6 linked regions of the Coturnix japonica genome follow. The protein of the gene in region 2 interacts with the protein of the main gene of each other region in a biochemical or structural test. Links are inferred from orthologs where the notes say so. Each region holds a gene or a part of one and is shown on either strand. Other genes may lie near its edges.

Evidence for each region.
Region 1: of the proteins of mitogen-activated protein kinase 12-like (region 2) and SNTA1, one has a biochemical effect on the other in vitro, tested with the Homo sapiens proteins (2 studies listed by BioGRID and IntAct, with this or other methods). The link is inferred for Coturnix japonica from reciprocal best matches to the Homo sapiens genes MAPK12 and SNTA1.
Region 3: the proteins of mitogen-activated protein kinase 12-like (region 2) and DLG1 interact in a test that uses a peptide from one of them, tested with the Homo sapiens proteins (2 studies listed by IntAct, with this or other methods). The link is inferred for Coturnix japonica from reciprocal best matches to the Homo sapiens genes MAPK12 and DLG1.
Region 4: of the proteins of mitogen-activated protein kinase 12-like (region 2) and HTRA2, one has a biochemical effect on the other in vitro, tested with the Homo sapiens proteins (2 studies listed by BioGRID and IntAct, with this or other methods). The link is inferred for Coturnix japonica from reciprocal best matches to the Homo sapiens genes MAPK12 and HTRA2.
Region 5: the proteins of mitogen-activated protein kinase 12-like (region 2) and ERBIN interact in a test that uses a peptide from one of them, tested with the Homo sapiens proteins (2 studies listed by BioGRID and IntAct). The link is inferred for Coturnix japonica from reciprocal best matches to the Homo sapiens genes MAPK12 and ERBIN.
Region 6: the proteins of mitogen-activated protein kinase 12-like (region 2) and SNTB1 interact in a test that uses a peptide from one of them, tested with the Homo sapiens proteins (2 studies listed by IntAct, with this or other methods). The link is inferred for Coturnix japonica from reciprocal best matches to the Homo sapiens genes MAPK12 and SNTB1.

Annotation. Positions count from the first base shown.
Region 1 is NC_029535.1:2,063,036-2,067,283, forward strand, and holds the start of SNTA1 (alpha-1-syntrophin), read left to right. Parts: upstream 1-1,448; 5' UTR 1,449-2,179; coding exon 2,180-2,441; intron 2,442-4,143; coding exon 4,144-4,248. UniProt on the Homo sapiens protein: Adapter protein that binds to and probably organizes the subcellular localization of a variety of membrane proteins. May link various receptors to the actin cytoskeleton and the extracellular matrix via the dystrophin glycoprotein complex.
Region 2 is NC_029516.1:18,175,128-18,178,627, forward strand, and holds part of mitogen-activated protein kinase 12-like, read right to left. Parts: intron 2,880-3,500; coding exon 2,800-2,879; intron 1,944-2,799; coding exon 1,865-1,943; intron 225-1,864; coding exon 51-224; intron 1-50. UniProt on the Homo sapiens protein: Serine/threonine kinase which acts as an essential component of the MAP kinase signal transduction pathway.
Region 3 is NC_029524.1:10,741,798-10,745,297, reverse strand, and holds part of DLG1 (disks large homolog 1), read left to right. Parts: intron 1-1,691; coding exon 1,692-1,848; intron 1,849-2,725; coding exon 2,726-2,828; intron 2,829-3,500. UniProt on the Homo sapiens protein: Essential multidomain scaffolding protein required for normal development. Recruits channels, receptors and signaling molecules to discrete plasma membrane domains in polarized cells.
Region 4 is NW_015439533.1:471,255-475,490, forward strand, and holds the start of HTRA2 (serine protease HTRA2, mitochondrial), read left to right. Parts: upstream 1-1,436; 5' UTR 1,437-1,581; coding exon 1,582-1,919; intron 1,920-2,755; coding exon 2,756-3,224; intron 3,225-3,449; coding exon 3,450-3,482; intron 3,483-3,779; coding exon 3,780-3,888; intron 3,889-4,236. Other genes in the region: AUP1 (ancient ubiquitous protein 1), read right to left, coding at 194-344, 814-951, 1,225-1,274.
Region 5 is NC_029547.1:14,161,419-14,164,918, reverse strand, and holds part of ERBIN (erbin), read left to right. Parts: intron 1-55; coding exon 56-1,580; intron 1,581-3,500. UniProt on the Homo sapiens protein: Acts as an adapter for the receptor ERBB2, in epithelia. By binding the unphosphorylated 'Tyr-1248' of receptor ERBB2, it may contribute to stabilize this unphosphorylated state.
Region 6 is NC_029517.1:123,525,465-123,529,577, forward strand, and holds the start of SNTB1 (beta-1-syntrophin), read right to left. Parts: upstream 2,801-4,113; 5' UTR 2,758-2,800; coding exon 2,232-2,757; intron 1-2,231. UniProt on the Homo sapiens protein: Adapter protein that binds to and probably organizes the subcellular localization of a variety of membrane proteins. May link various receptors to the actin cytoskeleton and the dystrophin glycoprotein complex.

The sequences.
Region 1 (4,248 bases), on a different chromosome or scaffold from region 2:
GCTGCATCCCCCAGCTCCTGCTTTCCCCACACCTATCTCAGTCCCCAGGTGCTTCTTTTTCCTGTTTCTTTGACAGCACTCATCCAGCCTTGATAACCCATCTGCTGTGCAGCAGCAAAGCGCTTCCACAGCACAGAGCTCAGCTGGTGTGGCTGTCTTATGGGGATCCAGAGAGCAGAACCCAGACTGAGAAGGGAGAAACTCGGCCAGGAGTGACTGTGTCCCAAAGCAAAACATTTTAAAGTCAACTGGAGGAGTCGGAGACTGCACAGTTTGGGCAGACAACACCATTTCACTACATTTCCTGTATACCAGGGGATGAATCACTCGGTTAAGTACATGGTGCACATCTGAATCTCTTTTATTTCCCTGCCCATCCTCTCCAGTGCATTTGCAGCCTCTGATCTGTTTCAGCAAGGCAGGACCTGCTGCCCCATGCTCTCCTGAGGTGCTGCTGTCAGCCTTGGGGATGCCACTTCAGACCCAAACACGAGCTTTTCTTCTGTTTCAGAAGTGATTCATGTAAATTCACGCAGCTAACAGCGCTCTATAAATAGACGGGTGGGCTTTGACACAGCTCCTGTGTGTGCCAAGAGCTGAAGCTAATAATAGCAGCTCACCCACCACGTCCGGGAGCGGGGATGTTCTGCAGGGGGAGGATGGGATGGGCTCAGCCTTGTGACAGAATCACAGTGAAGATATCACCATCCCACGGGCACTGCAGCACCTCTGTGCCATGATGTGGGGCTGCACACATGGCCTTGCTGCCCAGCAGTGTGGCATGGCACAAGGTTTCCCCCTGTGTGGCACTGCTCTGCTTCCCACTGCTGCTTTGCATAGTGCTGCCAGGGCTGGGGAAGCAAACATATCACATATCCCTGGATGGTGCCATCCTGTGGCACTGGGAGCAGTGTCTCTGCTTTCTGACGTGGCTTACAATGAGAATACAGCCTTAATAATCACCTGTGCTGGAAATAGCATTGGAAAGAAAAAAGACTGCGAGTGGCAAGGGGCAAAGTGACCCCAACTGGCAGCAAAAGGACTGAACCCCCTCTGCTATGGGCACAGCAGCTCAGGGTCTGTGGGATGCACAGAGGACTGGGGGGGGGGAGGGGGGGGTGTGATGGGCGTGGGAGCATCACTGTTAGGCAAACCCAAAAAGTCACTCCAATCGAACTGCAGAATTTGGATTGAAAACTGGAATATCTGAGCTGTGCTTTGCAAGGGAAAAACCTTCAGGGTTTCCTCTGCCGCAATCTCAAGAAATTCCACAGCTGCCTCTGCGTGGGGGGAGCGCTGCTGCCTCCGTGTGGGGGTGGGGAGGGCTGCAGCCCCCTGCTCTGCAATACCCCCCCCACCTCCCCTTGTGCGTGAACGGGATTCAATTCCTTTAAGGCTGCGTTTGCAGAGCCTGGGGCTTGGGGACCTGCAGCCCCACCCCAGGGCTCTGGAGCTGCCCGAAGGGGCACAGGGGATGTACCCAGAGGTATTTTTTATCCCTCATTGCTGCCACTCGGTTGCAGGAGGAAATGCGGATCTGCCAAAGGAAACAAACACCGTTCCTGTTTTCAAGAAGCAGGACAGGGAAAGGAAAGAAAAAAAGCAAGACTGTTCTGAATGCCTCCAAAAATCCTCCCTGCTGCTGTCTGCACCCATCTTTGGGGCACCGACGTCGTCGGACGCCAGTGGGAGAGCTCTTGAGGCTGCCCCCCACCGCCCCCAAGAGCTGCCATTGCTTTTCATCATCGCAGTTTTCCTTAATAAGTCCAGAGTTCGCTTCGAGTCACTTCTGGCTCTGCCTGACAGCGCTGCTCGCTTCCACGACAGCAGTTACTCGTGTACCCCGCAGCACGCCCGAAGCTTTCGTGGCACCCGGTTCTCGGCACGGACACCGCTGCGCCCCGACGTGCCCCGCAGGGTCCCCCTGTGACACAACCGCACCGCGGTGCCCGGAGCCGGGAGGGTCCGAGTGAGGGTGTGCAGAGCTCCCCATGCCCCTCCCGGCGCTCCCCGTCCCATACTCGGGCACGGAGCCCCGCAGCGCGGCGCTGCCCCGACGGGGCGGGCGTGGGCCGGGCCGGGGGCGGTGCGCGGGGCTCGTTGCTCCGCCGGGCGGTGCGCGGGGCAGCGCGGAGCGGAGCTGCCGGAGCGGCGGGGCCGGGCCCGGCATGCGCGGAAGATGGCGGCGGGCAGGCGAGGGGCGCGCAGCGGGCTGCTGGAGCTGCGCGGTCCCGGCGGACAGTGGCTTCGCGTCCTGCTCACCCTGAGCGATGACACCCTGAGCGTCAGCCCCGCCGACGGCCCCGGGCCCGGGGAGCCTCCGCCGGCTCAGCTGAACGGAGGGGAGCAGAGCTCCGGCGTGCCCGAGGCGCTCGCCAACATCAGGCGCACGGTGCGCGTCGTCAAACAGGACGTGGGGGGGCTCGGCATCAGCATCAAAGGTGAGGGGGGGGGAGTACCAGGAGTGGGCGGCGGCGGCGGCAGGTAGGACCTACGCTGCCCTGCTGCGACCGGAGGGCTCCGCCCGCGTGTCCTTGCGTCCTGCGTGACCCCGGTGCGGTGTCCCCTCCTGGCCGCCCCAAACGCAGCGCTCTGCCCCGGTCGGGTGTCCCCCGGTGTCCCCCGCCGCCCCCACCCCCGTCCTGGGGACTTTGCGGGAACTTCGGGCCGGGAACTTCGCGAGGGGGGGTGCGGGGGGCTGCCGCTGTCTGACGTGGCCGCATTGGGCTCAGCCTTCACCGCGCTCCTTGCCGGGCGCTGCTGGGTGGGGCGGTGTGTCGGGTGCGGGTCCCCGTGAGGGGTCCGGGGTGAGCCCTCACCGCTTGTTGGGGCTGTGGGTGCTGCAGCTCGGCAGCGCTTTTGGGAGGTGCAATCCCCCCTTGTAACCAACCCCGGGCTGCGAAGCGCTGCCGGCTCTGCGGCTCTCCCAGGAAAGGAGAAACGTTACTTGCTTCAGCTAAACTTTATTTTTGCAGTGACGTAGGTGGAAACCAAGGAGCCGTGATCCAAACGGGGAGCTGCAGGCGGGCGGGCAGCACTTGGGCTGCCTTGTGCCTCTGCTGCTTTGCAGGGGGGTGACCATGTGCCATTAAACGCAGCCAAACCTTGCTGTCCCTGCAGGGGGTGGGGGCATGGAGGGACGGGTACCCCGCTGCCAGCCAGCTCCTGTCCATGGCCCGTGGGACAGAATCTAAAATGGACCTTCTGGTTAAAGCATTTCAGCTGCATCCTAACCCCAGACAGTACTTCACTTGGGGTTTCTGGTGCTTCATGCAGCCCTGCAGGGTTAGGGTTAGCATCGTTAGGGTTAGGGTTAGGATCCTTCTCCTGCAGGGTCGTGTACCGCATGGTGCTCCGGGCGGTGGTTCCCTCTCCACGCACACAGCCCAGAATGGGTGGTTGCGAGGCGTTGCTTCCAAGCTGGGCTCGGCAGCCAGCAGCAGCCCCCGCGGGGGCCTCTTGACAGCTGATAGCCGGAGGAGCCCTCAGCTCCCGGAGAGGCTCTGCAGAAATCCGAGCGGAGCAATGCTGGCGGCACAGCGGGTGCAGCCCTGGGAGGTGTCACGCTGCCGGTCCCTGCCCGTGGGAGGGGGGTAGGGGGGAGTGAGGGGGTGCCCGGCACACGCTGTCCCAGCGCTGAGCGTGGGCAGCGCCAGGCGGGGCTGCTGGCATCTCCTACAGGTTCAGAACTTAAAGTGCAAATTGATCTCCTTGAGCTGCCCGGAGGCCTTGAGAGTGTCCTGGTGGGCTGAAGAGTGGGGAGCAGCCCGAATGGAGACAGAGAGGAGTGGGGAGCAGGTAGTCCTGCGGCTGAGCTGCTGCTCTGGGGCTCTTTTGCCTCTCCAGCACTCAGCTGCTGCCCCACTGAGACCGTGGGGTCCTGAGAGCAGGGAAGGCTGCTCAGCACACACAGTTAATAATGCAAATAGTGACACAGTTTCCTGCCAGAAGTGATGGGGAGGCGGTCAGGGCGTGTGTTTGTTCAGCAAGGAAATCTGCAGCCACTCGGATGGTTTTTTGAAGCACTTAACATGTGTCTGCCATAAAGCTCTGAGGTATTTGGGCACTGTGTGGGCACTGAGCAGCCCTGTGCCCCTAATTGCTCAGTGTCCCCTCACTGCTTGGTGCCCCTTCTGCCCGCAGGTGGCCGGGAGAACAAGATGCCCATCCTCATCTCCAAGATCTTCAAGGGACTGGCAGCAGACCAGACCGAGGCACTGTATGTGGGAGATGCCATCCTGTCCGTGA
Region 2 (3,500 bases):
ATGGCCTTTCTAGCTGCTTATTCTTTAAAACATCACAAAACTAAACTCACGCTTCCACTCATCCAGGGGTAGATCCATGTTATCAAATGTGTCATCATATTTCTCAGCCTCAATTTCTTCCTCAGGATCATGAATTGCTTCAAAGTAAGGATGCATCAAAGCCTCAGCTGCCGTGACTCGCTCCTCCGCATCCAGCACCAGCATGTTCTCCAAAAGATTCACAGCTATGGGACAGAAAATGAACACTGCATTGAAATCAAGCGCCGATTTCAGCTTATACATAGTAATGCTGCATTGAAGATGCTTCAAAGATACCTACAGATTTACAAAGCAGAATCATTGGGTGCTCATTCTACAGCCAGTGAGGTCCAACTGCACAACAAAACAGAGTGCTGTGAACAAGCTGGGATGTGTACCAAGAAATGCAGAGATGCTCCTTAAATTCCACATGCAATACAGACACATCACCTCAGCTCTGACTTCTGAACTTCTGACTCCAGGTCCACTGCATGTAGGAACTCCCCAGATGTCTGCCCTCACTGCCAGCACTTTGTTGTGGTTATGAGGCACATCATTACTTGGCAGGGGCACTATGAGCAGATGGGTGTAGAGCTATCGAGAATTGTTTGTTATGTGACTAGATCCATGTCCTCAGCATTGGCAGCACATTTTCAAGTTCACCAAGACATCCATGCTCTAAATGTCAGCACTAACTTTATCTGCAACGTGTTTTGACCTCACCAAGACAATCCATGAAATCCATGAACATCTTCAGTGTTCCTCACGGGTGGATTTTGGATCGGGCCCTCTGTGAGACTATCAAAAGGCACTAGTATAAACTGACATGATTCTATTATGTTCATAAAAGTATCCTGTAAGAAAGTTTCTGAGTTGGGTGGAGCACCAGAAAGGAAGAAGGGACAGCAGCATGGGAAAAGATGCTACAACACCTGCTTGGCACATTATGGCTTCATAGCATCATAGAATCATTTCGATTGGAAAAGAACACTGAAATCTTTAAGTCCAACCACGCACCTAACAAGTCCTTCCAACCTTCTCTCCCAGACCAAGAGCAGTTGTTTTTCTTATAAGGAACAGCCAGATGGCCAAAGAAGTGACAGGAAGAAATAAAGTAGAGATGTGTAGAGTTTTCTGCAGCTGGGACAGCTAGTGAGTGAGCCATGCGGTCATGGTTAATAATCCTACTGTATCTTCATATGCCATTTTAACTGCTTAAATACAGAAGATTCAATTGTCCTAATTCATATTCTAAGAAAGCCTGGCTTTATGAGTCAGGTCATTGGGGAACGGATGAAGCTGGGCAGAGCCATCTCAGAGCACTTATTGCCTCAGGTCATGTCACAGTTATGCACACTTGGTATGTTCTTCTAGCTGTTTATATCCATCAAATACAAGCCAGATCTTTGCAGGAATGCACAGATGTTTCTCAGGACGCATTCATTCCATGTCTAAAATGTCAGCTTTCTATTTGTTTGCATTTCTGTTGTACATCAAAAGGACCTTTCAGAATTATATTTAAAATACAATGCACAGAAACCTTTATTAAATATATTTAAATCCCCAGGGCTCTTGAGAAAGCTGCTTCAGTAAAACCATTAAGCACGGTCTGGATCAGAGCCTAAAGCATAAAATACTTCTTTTTGACTCTTTTGAATCATCTGATTCCTGGCAGTGTCTAAACTTGGCACAGTTCGGCCACTAGAATCAAAGTTCTGAGTTATGGAAAGCAAGAGGCAGAGCAGCATGGGAATCATCACATAACTTATCACATGCTGACACTGCTGCTGCCTCCAGTGCAAACAAAACAACAACGGACTGTACACATTGACACAAACTGCCTTACCCAAAGGACTCGCATGCTTCAAGACGGATGCAAAATCCTTTTTCTGGACTTTTGGAAGGCTTTTGATGTAGTTTTTTGCCTTGAAAGAAACATGAGTATTAAATCAGAACTTTTCCTCCTTTACTAGGTACCTTACTGGTGCTTTGACAGTACCTTGCACAAAAGGATATTTTTTTTTGTTCTAAGGCCTGGTTATGTTCATCTTCTTGTTGAAAGGAACAGTTTCTTTTAAACCAAACCTCACAATTCTGATTAAGAAATTAAACATAAAGCTCTGATACCTAATCAACATCTAATATGCTGATTAGAATAAGTATGTATTCATCGTTTGAAAGAATGCCATACTGAAATTTACAGAAGCCTCTAAAAGTGTATGTTTCACAGTAATTCTGTAGTATTCAATCTGCACAGTTCATCTAATGGTTTATTTTAGGTTCTTTATAGCAGGGACTTCAGGATTCTCAAAAACATCACAAGAAAATAGGAAAGAGGAAGTCAGAGACACCCACAGAATGGATGGGCTCTCTGAAGAGGTTCATATTGTCAGTACACTTCCAGCAAAGGAAGTAATGTATCAGCTCAGCTGATTTAAAGTACTTAAATATATTGGTTTTTTTCAGTGTCCTAATCATTTTGTTTCCTCTTAATGTCCAGTAATTATTCTGGCTGTGAAACCTCCAAAGTAGGCAGAGAATCCTCCATGTGGCGCAAGTGGTAGAAGTGCCGCTCTGCTACACAGGAGGCTCGAATCCCAGGGGTTGGACTCGATGACCTCTAAGGTCCCTTCCAACTCGCACAAGACTGTGATACTGTGATACTGTGATAGATGTGCTATCAGGGGTCATTTCAGCAGCCAACACACACAATCTCAGGCAGTCTAAGAATTGAGAATGGCCCAGCGCACACAACACAGTCTGACAAAGCAGAACACTCACCTCCTGACTCTTCAGTTTTTGCACAAAATCTTGACTTGGAGTACCCGTTACTTTCATGATTTCTGTGAGCTGGTCCAGATCTGAATGCCAGAAATAAGGAACAAAGACTCTCACCATAGGATAAAAATTACGTGTTTCTTTGCTGCTGGAGAATAAAGCAAAACCAACAATGCAACAGCTGAACAGGAGGCATGTAAAAGATGAGCTGTCAGACATACAGAACTCGTAAACAGGACAAGTGATGAATTCTTGCTGTATTCTTTAGCACTACACTCCGCTGTCTGTCACAAGCGTTCGGGCCAACAAAGTATCACCTAAGGTTGAAGTATGGCCAAATCTTAACTATTTTCTTAAATTGTCAGCAATGAAATGACATGACTAAATATTTTCTGCACATCTAAAATATTCTACTATGTATTATTTACATGGTATTTTGGACAAAAGCCTCAAAAAGCTTGAAATGGACTAGCACATGCTCATAAGTTCATACACTACACCAGAACTTTCTGTGCTGAAGTTGTGGAACCTATTGCTACAACAAATGCATATGTATATATATTAATATTTACCTTTTGTATTGTCAGTGAAACTTTTAGCTGATGATTTGAGGCATCATTCAATGGATATCCCAATCCCACTCTCTATTGAGAAAGTTCAGTAATATGAGTTTTAATTCGCTGATGTACAGATGTGGTACAAGT
Region 3 (3,500 bases), on a different chromosome or scaffold from region 2:
CCAGAGATTATTCATTATCCTAAGGCCAGCAATGTATCTTTTTCAGACAAATGTTTATTTTATTTTGATGGATTAGTAAATCCAGAATGGCTAGAGAGCTCTTAACCCTTCCCATTAACAACCGCTCATTACTTCACCAATTCAGTAGAAGATTAAAGCAGTCTTTTTGTTTATCAGTAAAGCTCATCTTTTCTCTCCTGCAAATTGGGAACATTACACTGCATTTTCAGTATGTTGTTGCTGAAGTCTGTGCCACACTATTTTCTAATATGGGTAATGTCATTCAGTTTCTTAGATGGCATCTGCCCAGATTGAAACGTAAGTGAGATGGTTAAGTTGTAGAATGAGTTTTCGTGTATTAAAAACTGGGAGGGCCTCAGATATGTGTTTTATAGCTTATGGTTATGTAGGCATGTATGTCACATTGATTCTGTCCTTCTGTGATTGTATTATTGAAGTTGTAAGTGTACAGTTTTTTTCCAATTTACTGAGATTTTTAGGCTTCCTTTGAAATGTAAGGGCTATTCAAGGAGGGCTTTATGTGTTCTTGAAATTACCTTCCCTCCCACTGCTTTCATCCCAGAAAGAGGCTTAGATAAGTTGAATAATATGTAAACAGATGTCATGTACTTACGTTCTCTAACTGCAGCTTATCTGTTGATGTGTTATTGTGATCTGGCGCAATATACGTAGGTTTCCACAGTGTCATATGTTTGTAATAAAATAGCACTTAGAAAAGATGAATCTGACATCAGATAGAGGGCAGAATTTAGGAATTTGATGCTGAGTTGATCTAAAAGCTGGTGCAGAAATGGAGAAGTGTAAAAAGCCAGACTAGATTGTATTTTTTGTTTTAGAAAAATGCAGCATCTTCATTTGTCCTATAAACTAATAATTTATGTCTCCAAATATTTAAGAATGTCCGTTAATTGTTCTTTAGTGCTCTCTAGTGATTCTTAACTGTAGTGCACGGTTTCTGTTTTATTATTAGAAGTTTCCTGTGTCTGAAATCATCCATGCTTTTATTCTACTGGATAAAACAGCAGGTTTTTGGATGGCGGGTTTCTGCACTAGGTGTTGACTGGCTGTGCCTATTGAATTAACTCTTTTACCTTCATCAGCATTTCTCCTTTTATTTCCTGATCTGAGCCAGGAAGCCAAGAATGAAATAACTTGCTTTGGATTTAACTTTTTCAGTTAGAATTTCAGCAAATAAATTGCAAATACACATGAGAATGCTACAGTTTCTCTTTGCTATATTTTTCTCATCCAGCTAGAATGGAATTAGAGCAGCAAGGACATGCATTTTGTTATTAACTTCTCCATTAGAATTTAATTGATAAGTTTCAGAAAATAGTGTTTTTATTACTGTTAGATTGTTCCAGGCTCTTGAATGATAAGGAAAGTATTAAATATTGTCATGTAGTGCTGAATAAACAGCATAACAGAGATTTAGAATACCTACATACAAATGGATAGTTCAGTTCACCTAACAACAGGGAGATCTTTTTGCATCTATAAGCAAAATAGAGGGTATACAAATAATAGAAAATATTTGAAAATCTTGCTTGTTAAACATATAATTTTTGGTATGTGAATTTTCAATAGTTTTTAAAACTCGGACAACTTCTAATTATTTAATTTTATTCATGACTTGTGACTAAGCTTTGGCATTCCTTCCTTTCATCCAGGGAGCCTAGAAAGGTTGTCCTGCATCGAGGCTCAACGGGTCTTGGCTTCAACATTGTGGGAGGAGAAGATGGGGAAGGCATTTTCGTGTCTTTCATCCTTGCAGGAGGACCAGCTGACCTCAGTGGAGAACTTAGGAAAGGCGATCGTATAATTTCTGTAGGAGTCCTTGCTTCTTTTATTTAAACACCAGCAACAAAATTTTTTCCCCTACTTTTGGTACTAATGCCGGATAATACAATTTAAATGTAAAGAATATTATTAATTGAGCTGAATTTGAGGCGATGGAACAGTTACCAGTATATTTCTGAAGTACCTTTGCGGATGTTAGGCTGCCTTAGTTTCTCATCTCTACCTCAATGAAAATGGCACTGTTCTATCTCAGATGTTATTCAGAGTTAAAAAGTTGTAAGACTTTAAGTTATTTTACCTGTGTGTCTGAATGGAAAGAATGCAATCTTCATAAACAAGCTTTCTAATGAGATGGAGACATTTAGTGGTTCGCTTCCTGGATTAACTGCAGAACTTCCCATTAGTTTTAATTGTACCCATCTCAAACCTGTCTGAGGACTTTTCCTGTCTTAATACTAGAGGCCATAAAGATCTTGTGTTCAGAATCATAGAATCACTGAGGTTGGAAAAGATCTAAGTGATCGCCCAGTCCAACTGTTCACTTATTACCAATAGCTCTCACTAAGCCATGTCCATGTTTCTTCCTGAAATGACTGAAAGGATCTTTAACAAGAAAATTGACTTAGTGATAATAAATTCATGAAGTGATATACTGTGATTATTTGTCTCTTAACAGATGGTTATATGCAAGAGAGGGTTCACTGCCTTTTGATTTCAGTAAAGATCACTAATTTTCATTTATATTAACTAGCTCATAATGTTGGAAACAGGGAAATCTCACAAGACATGGAAACTTGTTTCTATCCAGTTAACTCTCTTTTTTATTCACGAGTCTGTATTTGTGATGATAATAATAAACACAACCATTTATTTTGATAAAAAGGATTTTTTGTATAATTTGTAGGTAAATGGAGTCGATCTGAAGGCAGCAACCCATGAACAAGCAGCAACAGCTTTGAAGAACGCAGGCCAAGCAGTAACTATTGTGGCTCAGTACCGTCCAGAAGGTAAGATAGTTTCCATACACATTTGAGTTTCACTTCTATAATTTAAAAATCAGATAATCAAAAATGTCTTCCCATGCCATCCCCACATTTAGCCCTTTTGAGTGTAACAGAAACAAATGATGTAATAGATGTTGACACATAACCTGTTAGCATAATTGCAAGTAAGTGTTGGTGCCAAAGCTTGGTATGTTACTTGCTCAGACTGTGTTCAGAATTTTGATTTCTTTTCCAAATGTTAACACTGTCAGGATGTGAAAGTTAAGCCAGTAAATCCACAACCGAGTGGAAATACCACAGCATTACTTATATCCTACTATTGTCTTTACCTTTTAATATGGTGTTTTATTTTCTTTGTCAGTAGGAGGATAAAAAACTAATTCCTACTCTGTTGTGTTGATTCAGATGACCTAGAGAAACCATCAAATTTTCATTCCTCTGTTTCATGCTAAGCTGGTATTTCCATTTATCTAGCAATTTCTTCTAATCTGGATTAGACAGCAGTGGGTGCTGATTAACCATCCTTGTGGACTGCAGAAGCAAAATAATATTGTTCCATCACAATGCAATATTGTCCTCCTGCACTTGTACAGCAAGTTTCAAATGCCTTTGTGTATTTGAGATTTTAACAATTCAGTAATCTAAAATGATGTATTTACATGCAGTCTGCAAGGT
Region 4 (4,236 bases), on a different chromosome or scaffold from region 2:
TTACCTCTCACCTTCAGCTTTTCACACAAGCATGAAACTGAACCACAGAAAAAAATACTTCAGGCTTGCACAATCCAAGGTTAATAAATAAGAACCGAGAACATTCAGAGCAACATCTAAAGTCTGAAATAGCCGAGTGTGTGCTTGGAAAGGCCCTTACAGCCCCGCCGTGCCCCAGCCGGGCGGTACTCACCGTGTTGCAGGAGGTCAGCAGGTTGATGACATTGTGATCAAAGTGTGTGACGTGGTTGGCAATGTAAACCTGCACCGCAGCGTCACGGAGACGGGGACCGCTCTGCTGCACAAACAGCCCCAGCACTGAGCACATCACACGGACAATAAGGCTAAAGGAGGGAAAAAGGGCTCCCTCAGATGTGCAGTCTGAGCCACAGCTGCCTCAGAGAGCCGAGAAAACAGGAACCCGGGACTGGGGTTGGGAAAAGATATCGGTACGAAATGGGAATGACACGACAGACTGGAAGTGTTTGTGGGCCGCAGCTGAGAGCGGCCTGCAGGGCTGCCACCGCAGCAGGAAACACGGGGCAGGGGGCACCGGGCCCAGAGCTGACAACAGCGACAACAGCACCAATAGAACCAACAACACCAACAGCACCAATAGAACCAACAGCACCAACAGCCCCGTGTGTTTCCGATCGGAGCCGGGCGCAGCCCACAGCCCCGGCCCCTTCCAACAGAGCCGTTCCGTGACCGCAGGGCGCACAACGGCCCCGGAGCTGCCCGGGACCCCCCGCGGTAACGGCGGCCCGTCCGTAGGGCCCGGGATGAGCGGAGCCCGCCCGTCCCCGCACGCACCGTCGCAGCGTCCCGTCGGGCAGGATGCAGCTGACCAGGAAGACGTGCACCCCGATGAACAGCCGCAGCACGAGCAGACACAGCCCCACGGGAGCGTACAGCAGCAGCGCCAGCAGCACGAGCCCGTCACTGGGAAACCTGCGGGAGGACAACGGCAACGGTGGGCGGGGGGTCGGGATGGACGGGGGGGGTCGGGATGGACGGGGGGGGTCGGGATGGACGGGGGGGGGTCGGGGCGGCCGCTCAGCCCCACGCTCAGCCCCCAGCCCCCGCCCGGCCGCTCAGCCCCACGCTCAGCCCCCAGCCCCCGCCCGGCCCGGTTCCTCCCGCCCACTCCCGGGACGCCCCGTCCCGCCCCGCGGGGTCCCCCCGGCGGCTCCGGACGTTGCGGGCCCGGCGCCCGGCTCTCACCGCTGCGAGTCGAAGAGCCGCTCCGGGCCCGGCGCCGCGCTGCGCTCCATGCCGCGCTCCGTCCGTCCCGTCCCGCTCAACACCCCGCTCCACCCGCCGCCATCTTCCGCCGCCCGCCCGCACCGCGCGGGGCGCTCTGGGAGGAGCGCGGCCTTCCCGGCGTGCCCCGCGCCGCCGCCCTGAGCTCACGAGCGCGGCCTGGTCCGCCCGCGGGCGCGGCGCCGGCAGCGGCAGGAGCGGGAGGAGCGGGAGGAGCGGCGGCACCGGCGGCACCGGCGGCACCGACCAGCCCGACCCAGCCGCGCGTCCCGCTCCTGCTCAGCGCGCAGTTCCCGTCCTGCCCCGCGTTCCGGCGCTATGGCGGCGCTGTGCCGGTGGCTGCGCGCTCCGCCGGTCGCCACGCGCTGGGGCCGCGCGATGTGCGTGTCCGCCGCCAACCCCCGCCCGCCGCCGCCGCCCCCGCCGTCCTGCCCCGCCCCCCCCGGCGGACACCGGCTGCTGGCCGCCGCTCTGGGCGCCGGGACGGCGGCGCTGCTGCTGCTGTGGTGCCGGGAAGGCCGCCGTCCCGCGCTGCTCGCCGCCGTGCCCGCCCCGCCCGCCCCGCCGCCCGGTTCGCCCCGCGCCGCCTTCAACTTCATCGCCGACGTCGTGGAGAAGACGGCGCCCGCCCTGGTCTACGTGGAGATCGTGGGCAGGTACGGACGGCACCGCCCGGCACCACCCGCTGCCGCGCGGCCGGCCTGACTTACGGTCACCCTGCCCTATGGTCACCCTGCCTTATAGTCACCCTGCCTTATTGTCACCCTGCATTACGGTCACCCTGCCTTATGACCGGCCTCAGTGTCACCTGCATGGGCACTGCAGGCGCTGCTGGGAGCCCTCAGTTTACAATAGATGGTACCATGTTACTGTGGGCCTGGAAGTGTTTTCCTGCAGCGTTTGCCCCAGGCCGTTCCCAAAGGCAGAGGGTGAAACTGGCCGGTACTTGGGCCCCGGTGTCCTCACGTCCCCGTTGTCACGTTGCTTTGATGCCTTTTTTCATCAATTTAGAGCCCCCCTGAGCCACTCTGACTGTTTGAAGGTCACAAATAGACTCACAGGGACACCAGCTCACCCCGTGTGGCCCTCACAGCAAAGCTCTGTGTTCAGGTTGTGTCTTTCCATAACCTGAACTGCTTATCTGTCCCAAAGACACCAATGTCCACCGCAGCTCTTTGTTAGTGTGTGCTTCCCACTGCACCTCTGTGGTCCTCATGGGGAGACGCTTTTGCCATTCCCATGGATTTCTGGTTCCTGCTGCTTGCTGCCCCATAGCGCACACAGTTGTGCAGACTCTTGGGATGGACACCCAGCGCGGGGCTGTGAAGGAGCTCCCATGTCCTGCTGTCATCCGGGCATCTCCTCACAGTCTCCCGCTGCCGTCCAGCCCACCATGCTGAGCCATGCAGCTGCCCGCTGGCCTGGCCTCACACATACCCACTGGTCCCCTCTGGGCCCCCATGTCCTCCCATGACCTTTGCCCACCTTGCAGGCACCCATTCTCAGGCCGTGAGGTGCCCATCTCGAACGGTTCGGGGTTCGTGGTGTCTCCTGATGGGCTCATTGTGACCAACGCTCACGTGGTGGCCAACCGGCGCCGTGTGCGGGTGAAGCTGGCCAGCGGGGAGCAGTACGACGCTGTGGTGCAGGACGTGGACCAGGTCGCAGACATTGCCACCATCCGGATCAAGCCTAAGGTGCGGGGCACTTTGCCCAGGGGCTCCCTTCCTCTCCCGCCTTCTGCTTACCCGGTTCCTCTCTTCCAGCACCCGCTGCCCACGTTGCCCCTCGGCCGCTCCTCTGAGGTGCGGCAGGGAGAGTTCGTGGTGGCCATGGGCAGCCCCTTCGCCTTGCAGAACACCATCACGTCCGGCATTGTCAGCTCCGCGCAGCGCGGCAGCCGGGAGCTGGGCCTGACCGCCTCCGACATGGAGTACATCCAGACGGACGCCGCTATCGACGTAAGGGCGCAGGCTGGGCTGGAGCTTCGTCCCGCTGCCTGCTCTGGGGAAGGGCTCTGTGTGCTGTGAGGTCTGGGCACAGCAGGCTGGGAGGAGGGTGCTCCTGGTTGGTGATCTGGCTGTTTCTCAGCCTGAGCCCTGTTCCCTGGGCTCTGCCTGCTCACTGTGGGGTAGTGTTTGAGGTTTGCTTTTGTGGCCTCATTGCTGCTCTCTCTGTTGTTCCAGTTTGGGAACTCTGGTGGTCCCCTCGTCAACTTGGTAAGTTCTCCTGCATGTATCCCAGTGGGCCTTTTCTCCTGGGGCTGTGTGCCCTCAGTGGGAGCACTGTGCAAGTATCCTCAGCTGTCAGGAGGGAAGGAGGAACTGTGTGCTCTCGGCATCTTAAAGGGTGGGATCAAGGAATTAGCGTGGGGTGAGAGCTCTGCTTGGTGGGACTCATCCCTGCCCGGCCTCAGCAGGGTCAGACTGCCCAGGGGGGGACGGTGCGCAGGCTTTAAGTTTTGCACAGCTCCATAAAGGTGCAGGTTGGAGAACACGTTGCCCTTTTCCATGCAGGATGGCGAAGTGATTGGGGTGAACACTATGAAGGTGACATCAGGCATCTCCTTTGCCATCCCCTCAGACCGGCTGCGGAAGTTCCTGCAGAAGGAGGAGCAGCGCAAAAGTGAGTTGGATGCCTCTCTGCTCGGGTGGGAAGGAGGCCAGAAGGAGGGTGATGACAGAGGGAAGAAGCTGTGGCATAGCTGACATAACAAGACATGGGCATGTGGGCAGACATAACAAGAGGAAGAACCTTTGGAGAATAGGAAGATTCTCCCATTGGGCATGAGGCAGTGAACCCCTCTGCCATGGCAGATCCATTTGCTCATCTGCCACAGATAAAGACTTCCAGAGTTTCCAAGAACTCTGCCTTGTTTTTGTTCCTTGGGGTTTGTGATAATTTGTTTAGTGCAGATTCTTGCTGTCTGGTTCTCACATTGACATCATGATATTTGCTTGGTATTCTCAAGCA
Region 5 (3,500 bases), on a different chromosome or scaffold from region 2:
AAGGAATATCTTGAGTCCCTTTGGAATATTGCTTACAGGTTATCTTTTCTTGCAGGCGAGAAAATGAAAATTTGAATAATCTTTTGCAAAACGGAGGTGAATTGAACATTACTGCAGAAGAAAACACAAATGTGCAGGAGAAAGTTACAAATCTGTCTCAATATGAACTGAGCATTGAAGAAAGAATAGGTCTGATAGAAAAAGGTGTGGATCTGAGTACTCCTACAGAGGAGACTCACAAGTTAGACCAAATAAACATGAATATCAATAAACTGGTTAGTGAAGAGGCAGTGCCAGTTCCCACAGAAAGAGTGAAACCACAGGAAGTAGTGTCAGTAAAGGGCTTTATGAATAATATTATGAAAGAAGAAGGTGAGCACTTGGAAAATGGGAATAAGTATCCTATAAATAAAGTAAATGGACATCCTGAGGAATCAGTACAGTCTCCCAGTAAAGATGAACTAATGAGAAGCACTACAGTTGATGGTGACTCTTCCACTGAGCTGTCTGTTTCACGGAGCACTGAAGATCTGTCGCCACAGAGAAGTGGAACTGTGATGAAGTCTCACAGCATCACCAGTATGGACCCTGGTGGCCTGAAAGTCTATGACATTGTCAGTGATGGTGTATCTCCACAGCCAAACTCAGTGGTAAAATCTTCATCTGGTAGTGCAGATGGAAAGAACATAGTCAGGAGTAAATCTGCTACTCTTCTGTATGATCAGCCTCTGCAGGTTTTTCCTGGGTCATCATCATCATCTGATTTAATATCATCTACAAAAACTCCATTCAAGTTGGACTCAAATCACAATCCTGAAGGTGCTAATGTAGTGAGAGGATCAGTGACAGGTGGTCCACAGATGTTTTCTACTCCCCAGTATAATATTCAGTACAGCAGCAGTACAACAGCAAAAGACACCTTGTGGCCCCAGAAACAAAGCACTCAAGTAGAACAGAGCAGCTTACCTCCTTCACGTCTGCTGAGGTCTGAAAGCACAGAAGCACCCAGCTATGTAAAACATTCTGCCAATATGAATTTCTCCAATCACAACAATGTCCGTGCCACTGCTGCATATAGCACTCATCAGCGAATGTCTGGTAGACATATAGACATGTGGGCTGTTCCACCAAACGATAGACTGCTCCCTGGAGCAACAAGGCACACTCTTCAAAGACAGAGCAGTGTATCCTCTACTGCTTCTGTAAATGTTGGTGATGCTGGACCTTCAAGGCGGGCCCAGGTTCCTGAAGGGGATTATTTGACATACAGAGATTTGCATTCAATGGGAAGAGCTCCACCAGTAATGTCAGGGCAGCAGAGACCTCTTTCTGCCAGGACATACAGCATTGATGGTCCCAATGTACCTCGACCACAGAGTGCTCGTCCGTCAGTGAATGAAATACCAGAAAGAACTATGTCAGTTAGTGACTTTAATTACTCTCGGACTAGCCCTTCAAAGAGATCAAATCCAAGAGTTAACTCTGAGCACTCTTTGTTAGACCCTACAGGAAAAAGTAAAGTCCCTCATGACTGGAGGGAACAGGTGCTGCGACATATTGAGGCTAAAAAGCTAGAAAAGGTAAAAATAATTTTATTCTTTCTACTTTTCTGTAATCTAGGCATGGTGTAAGTTAATTACCTATTTTTTGAGCAGTTTTCAATTACCAGTTAAACTATATTTCTGTACTACTACTTCTTCTAAAACGTAAACATGTTTATGCTGAGTATCTGAAAAACTGTCTGTAAGTGAAATTTTTCCCTTTTACATCGTACTTGCCAGCTTGGTCCAATTACCTTTGAATACATTAAATGTCCTGTTGACCTTCTGGACTGCAAGTCCAGCTCTGTTAGGTCAGGTAATTGTTGTTAACATGGCATTGTCTTCATGTTACACTATCCGGTTACCTTTCTTGAGCTTTCTCTTCTGCATTTTTTCAGTATTTCTTCAGGAACAAGAAAAAAAAAATCAATAAAATGCATTTTGTAGCATAGGTCTACAGCTTGTGATGCTGAGGAGCTGAAAAGATGTATAATTAACATTTATTTGCCTCCAAGCCAGTTATCTTTTGAAGCTGGATATTTGACAGACTGTTGAATGAATATTTATAACTGAGATGAGAGCACATAAAAATCTTGTTCATTTCAGGAAATCACAGGAGATTTTGATATAACTAGAGATGATGAACGGGATTCTTTTTGTACCTTAGTGCCTTATCAAAAATTTGAGCTGATATGGAGATGTGAACAGTTTTGCATCTTCAAAGGAATTGAGTAGAGACTGGAAGAATGTAATATGCTGTGCTGCCCAGGAGAGCCACTGTAAAATCGCATCACTAAGTATTGGCCAGGATATCATCAGGTTGATTCTGCTTCCTGGGAAGGGAAGTGAATTTGGTTTTGTTTAATTTGCATAATTCCTAATTATAAAAAAAGATCAGCACCACAGCTGTTCTTGTGATCCATTTTGAGTCGCATAGAACAAGATATTTTATGCAAAGTATTATGCTGAGGTGTGGTGGAGCCTTTGTCCTACAAGGCTGTCACAGACCTCACAGTGTTCCAGTCCTAATCAAAGGTGCATATTCTAGTCTTATTCCCCTGGATGCATCTATCTAATCTTAAACCAAACAATGGAAAAGGAAAAAAAATGTGCAGTGTTTGAGCGTAGAGGGAAACTTTGTTGTGCTGCTAAAGCTATTTGGTTTTACTTCACTCTTGCACTATGTTCCACATGTTAGGAATGGTGTTTAACACGTGGTTGAAAACTATCCAGGTATCACAAGCACTAAATAGTCACCTTTACTGAAAGCAGACTGATTGACTTAATACCCTTTATATCTGCTCATATTTTTTCTTCCATGCTCTTGATGTAAGCCTTCATTACTGTTTCTTACTAGAAGGATATGGACTGGTTGCTCCTGGGTTCTTAGCTGTACACCTATCTAACATATATTAGTAGTGTGCCTTTTGTGTGCATGCTTCTTTTATTCTGGCCTTAATGCATTTTGAAGATTTTACTTAGCACTCTAAGACTTATGAGTTTAAAGGTGAATACTCATATAATTGTCTACTTTATATTTTCTGGGATAGGATTGACTTCTAAAAAAAATAATGAAAATTAAACTATGAGAAACGCAGATACGATCCTGTGTGGCAGCTGGCAAATATGATAATGTAGAAATTGTAGAAATTTACTGGATATTTCTTTGTTCTTTTAAAATAACGGTATCAGGTGTGTTTAAACTTAAAATGCATTTCTAATATGGGAGCTTAATCTACAGAACAGACTTATGAAGTGTTTTGAAGACTAGAAAAAAATATCAGTATTTGAGGAAGAGAGTACTTGATTTAAAGAGCAAACATGTATTGGAAATTGCTGTGACAAAATTCTTTTAAAGCGTAAGACAGCACTGATAAATCAAGTATGCAGATTTAAGCGCTATGATGAATCTTTAATTAATATCCTTGTGCCTGTATCTGTACACAACAATATGGGTTA
Region 6 (4,113 bases), on a different chromosome or scaffold from region 2:
CAGTTTAGTGCTGAGCTGGTAAATACCTCGTTTCACTGAGCAAGCAGTTTTAGAAGGATGCAAAGCCATGACGTCGGGTGCGCTGAGCCACAGCCTCAGAGCTGACCACTTCAGCATGCACAAAACCCATAAACCCTTTCCTGGAGATCACAACACCTTGGGTAACACTGCAATCTCCCCCTCACACCCTAACATCTGTCCCTCATGTGTAGCACCTCATGGTGCCTTTTCAAATTCTTTAAGCCCAAGTCAGCTTTTCTGCTCTGTGAGACACAAGCCTCTGAATCTCCTTGAAAACATGCATGTTATATTTTGGTAATACACAATGGCAGTGCCCTGCTAACCAGAGCAACAGCCCAGAGAGGAACTGTGCAGGGATTCACCCCAGCTCAGGGTGCTCCTTGTAATGCACAGCTTTCCAAGAAGTCGGGAAGCAGCACGTTCCTCTTGTCTGGGAGGTGAGGAAAAGCAACGCTCTTCCCTCCCGTACTTCAAAGGGGAAAAAATCTTCTGGCTATTCCTTCCCTTTATAGTAAAAAGACCATTTTAGGCTGTGCTACTGGAGAAAGGTCTCTGAAGTGGGAAACTGAATCCTTGGCTTACACAAGCCACTCAAGCAGAGGTTCACAGAATCCTAAATTGGAAGGGACCCCTACAGATCACTGAGTCCAACCCTAGCTGCACAGAGCAGCACCTCCTGGGGACACGCCGGAGACAATCCTGTATTTAGATATTCTGCTAAAACTGCAGAAGAAAACCAAGACAAATACTGCTTTCAGCACTGGAGTATTTTAAACATCTAAAGGGAGGACTACTGAAAGAGACTCTCAGTTTACAACTTACAAATTCCACTGCGGGAACAAGCACTGAAGCACATCAGCCTACACCTCCACGGAGCAAAGAAATGCAAGAAAACAGCTGCAGAGGCCAATGGAGCAAAGAGGAGTCGTCCCTGCTCAAACAGCTTCAAGTGTGCTCCTACCAGGAACAACTCAGAGTTTTTTAGCAGGCTTATGCAGCAGCAGCACAGTCAGGTGCTGTTTCCACAGGCAGCGTGCTGTGCGCTCCTCATTAGATCACAGCACAGGTCAGCTGCTGCTGGCCTGCACCCCGGGAGCCCCGCACTGTGCAAACAAACCAGTGGCACAATTCCGACATCACCGCTCCATTCAGACCTCAGTGAGTTTACATTAGGACTTCACAGGAATCTTTGCATGCAGTTAACAGGGAGGAGACATGGTTTGGTCATGGGAGCACAGGGCACGTGGTGGCCCTCAGCTTGTTAAAGCCTCACAGCAATCCCCGCACAGGTTTCACTGCAGTGTGGATGGCACTGAGCAGTTTCTCAGCAGCCAAAACCACAGATTAAATTTTCTCACCTCCCCCACCTTTACTGCACAGAACCACTTCTTAAAGCTTTTCCCATAACTTTGTGCCACAGTCAGTTGTTTGCAGCTGATGCTCATGTGTATCCCTGAACTGGCAGCAGCACTTCCTCTGCTTCTTAGAACATAAAAGAGACATGTGAAGAACTGTGTTTGAAGGTTACCTAATGCGCTGCTGGGATACCAAGGTAGGGGCACCCAGGGCTTGGAGGAAGGCATGGGGATGGCACAGTAGCACACTAAAAATGCCAATGACCTCTGGTTAAATGAACTTCTGGGCTAAGGTGCAATCACTTTATCAAACATATGCCAAGGGCACTGCTCAAGCTGTTCATTCTCTCAGGTCCAGCAACCACACAAATCCCGGGAAGAACACAAGGACTGCACGTCCATGATTGCCTCCCTCCTTATGAGCATGGTGTCCTGGGGAGTTATTCTGCCTCTGCTCAGCCCTTGCCAACAGTTGTTTCATGGACAACTCCCATACAACACATATACACACCATGCTCCAGACTCCGTTTCTAAAGCTGCTTCTTACCAAACTCAGTCATTCCCAGACACAAAACATTTGTGGGGATGGTTTCTGTGTCAGGAGGTACCAACAGCTTCCTCAGAGCCCACTCCCCCCGCCAAGGCCCGGTTCAGCCGCCGACTGTCGGGGCTCCGCAGTTTGGTCGCGCATCGGACGGCAGAGCCCCGACTCTGGCCGCTCTGCGGAGCCCCGACAGCCGCGCGGTGCCATCCGTGAGGCTCCGTCCCCGCGCCGTCGGGGTTCCCTACCGAAAGGGCGACCGGAGCGAGGCGCACGGAGCGGTCCCGCACCCCCCTCCGCCGGCAGCCCCGTACCTTCCAGCAGCACCTCCTTGCCGGCCCGCTTGAGTGCCTGCACCGCCTCGTCGTGGGTGGCATCCCGCAGGTCGGTGCCGTTGACGGCCAGGATGGCATCGCCCACGTAGAGGGCCTGGGTCTGGTCGGCCGCCAGCCCCTTGAAGATCTTGCTGATGAGGATGGGCATCTTGTTCTCCTTGCCTCCCTTGATGCTGATGCCCAACCCGCCCAGCTCCTGCTTCAGCACCTTCACGCAGCGCTTCTTGTTGGAGACGGCTTCGGGCACCTGCTCGGGGGGGTCGGTGAAGGCGGTGCGCACCGCCGAGCCCCCGCCGCCGCCCTCGGCTCCGCGGCACGCCGCCCCATCGCTTCCCAGCCCGTTGTGGGCCGCGCCGTCGGGGCGCTCCTCTCCGCTCAGCACCAGCGCCTCGCCGCCCAAGTTGGCCAGCACTTTGTGCCAGCGCTCCCGCACCAAAACTTCCAGCCAGCCGCTGCGCTGCGCCCGGCCGCCCCCGCCGCCGCCGCCCGCCGCCGCTACCGCCATCTTAGGAGCATGCTGGAAGCGCCGAGTGACGGCACCCCCGGCACGGCACGGAGCGGCGGTACCGGACTTCAGCCGGGGGCGGTGAGCTCCCGGCGCGGCGGGGTGGGGCGAGGTGCCGCGGCCGCCCCCCCGGGGCCGTGCCTGGGCGGGCGCACCTGGCGGCACCGCCCGCGGAGCGCGACTCCGTGCGGGAGAGCGTGCGGTCGGAGGGTCCGGGAGCTCCGCGAGCTCCGCACTCCCAGCTCCGCTGGATGGGCAGCGCAGGGTGAGCGGCGGACCTTCCGCGTCCCGCCGTCGCCGTCAGAAGGCTCGACTTGGGCTGAAAGCCGCCGAGAGCGGGGCGGGGGCTCCCGGCTTGTGCGGAGGAGAAGCGTGCGTTATCCTATGACTTTGCACTCATGAGCGTCCCTTCGAGCTGAGCGCGTTTACCACCGAAGGGATCCACTGAGAGCAGTGGTGTCAACCCCTCCATCCCCTCCCACCTTTTGCCTCTCCGTTGTGTAGCAGCGAGGGGAATGAAAGCAGTGGGATAGAGGAGAGTAATAGTGCTATCGGCAGAGAAGCTTTGGCAAAAAATACAAGTTTATTTTTCTCAGTTGCTTCTCGTAAATAAACGGATTAACACAAATAGTTGGTACAGAGTTAGACTACTTCAGTTGGGCAATCAAACTTGCTTCGCTGCTTCGGTGGATGAAGATGGTAAATGATTTTCATGAACCCTTTTGCAAATTTTTAAACTTTGTCCTTTGTTTGCTACGTTTTAAGCCCCGTGAAGTCCAGTTCTGCAGTCTTTCCCGTGCTCTCTCTCCTCCTAGGATGCAATCTGGTGCCTGATGAGTAGCCTGAGTCCCCAACTCAGTTGTGAAAGTGGACCAAAAAGGTCACCCTGGCAGCTTTGAGGTGTCATCAGCCAGTCTGGGTGTGCTGCTCTGAAGCAGTGTCACTGCAGCCATTGAGAACACCTCAGTTTCCCCTCCATCCAGGATGGCTCCAACTCCTTGTCAGCTGGGCTGAAAACTACAGCAGTTCAGGAGCACTTGGCATGTGCCAAGTGAGAGAGGGAACGGCCTCAAGTCGAGCCACGGGAGATTCACATTGGATATTCAGAAAAGTTTATTCTCTGAAAGAGTGGTGAGGTGTTGGCACAGGCTGCTCAGGGAGGTGCTGGAGTCACTGTCCCTGCAGGTGTTGAAGAAACGTGGCACTGAAAGCTTAGTGGGTGTGGTGGTGATGGGTTGATGGTCAGCTTAGATCATCTTTTTCAACCATAATGATTCTGTGATTCTACACAGGAGCAGTGCTTTAAGGGGGGAAAGGGTTACACAAAATGCATTCCCTTGCCTCCAGCAGGCAGCA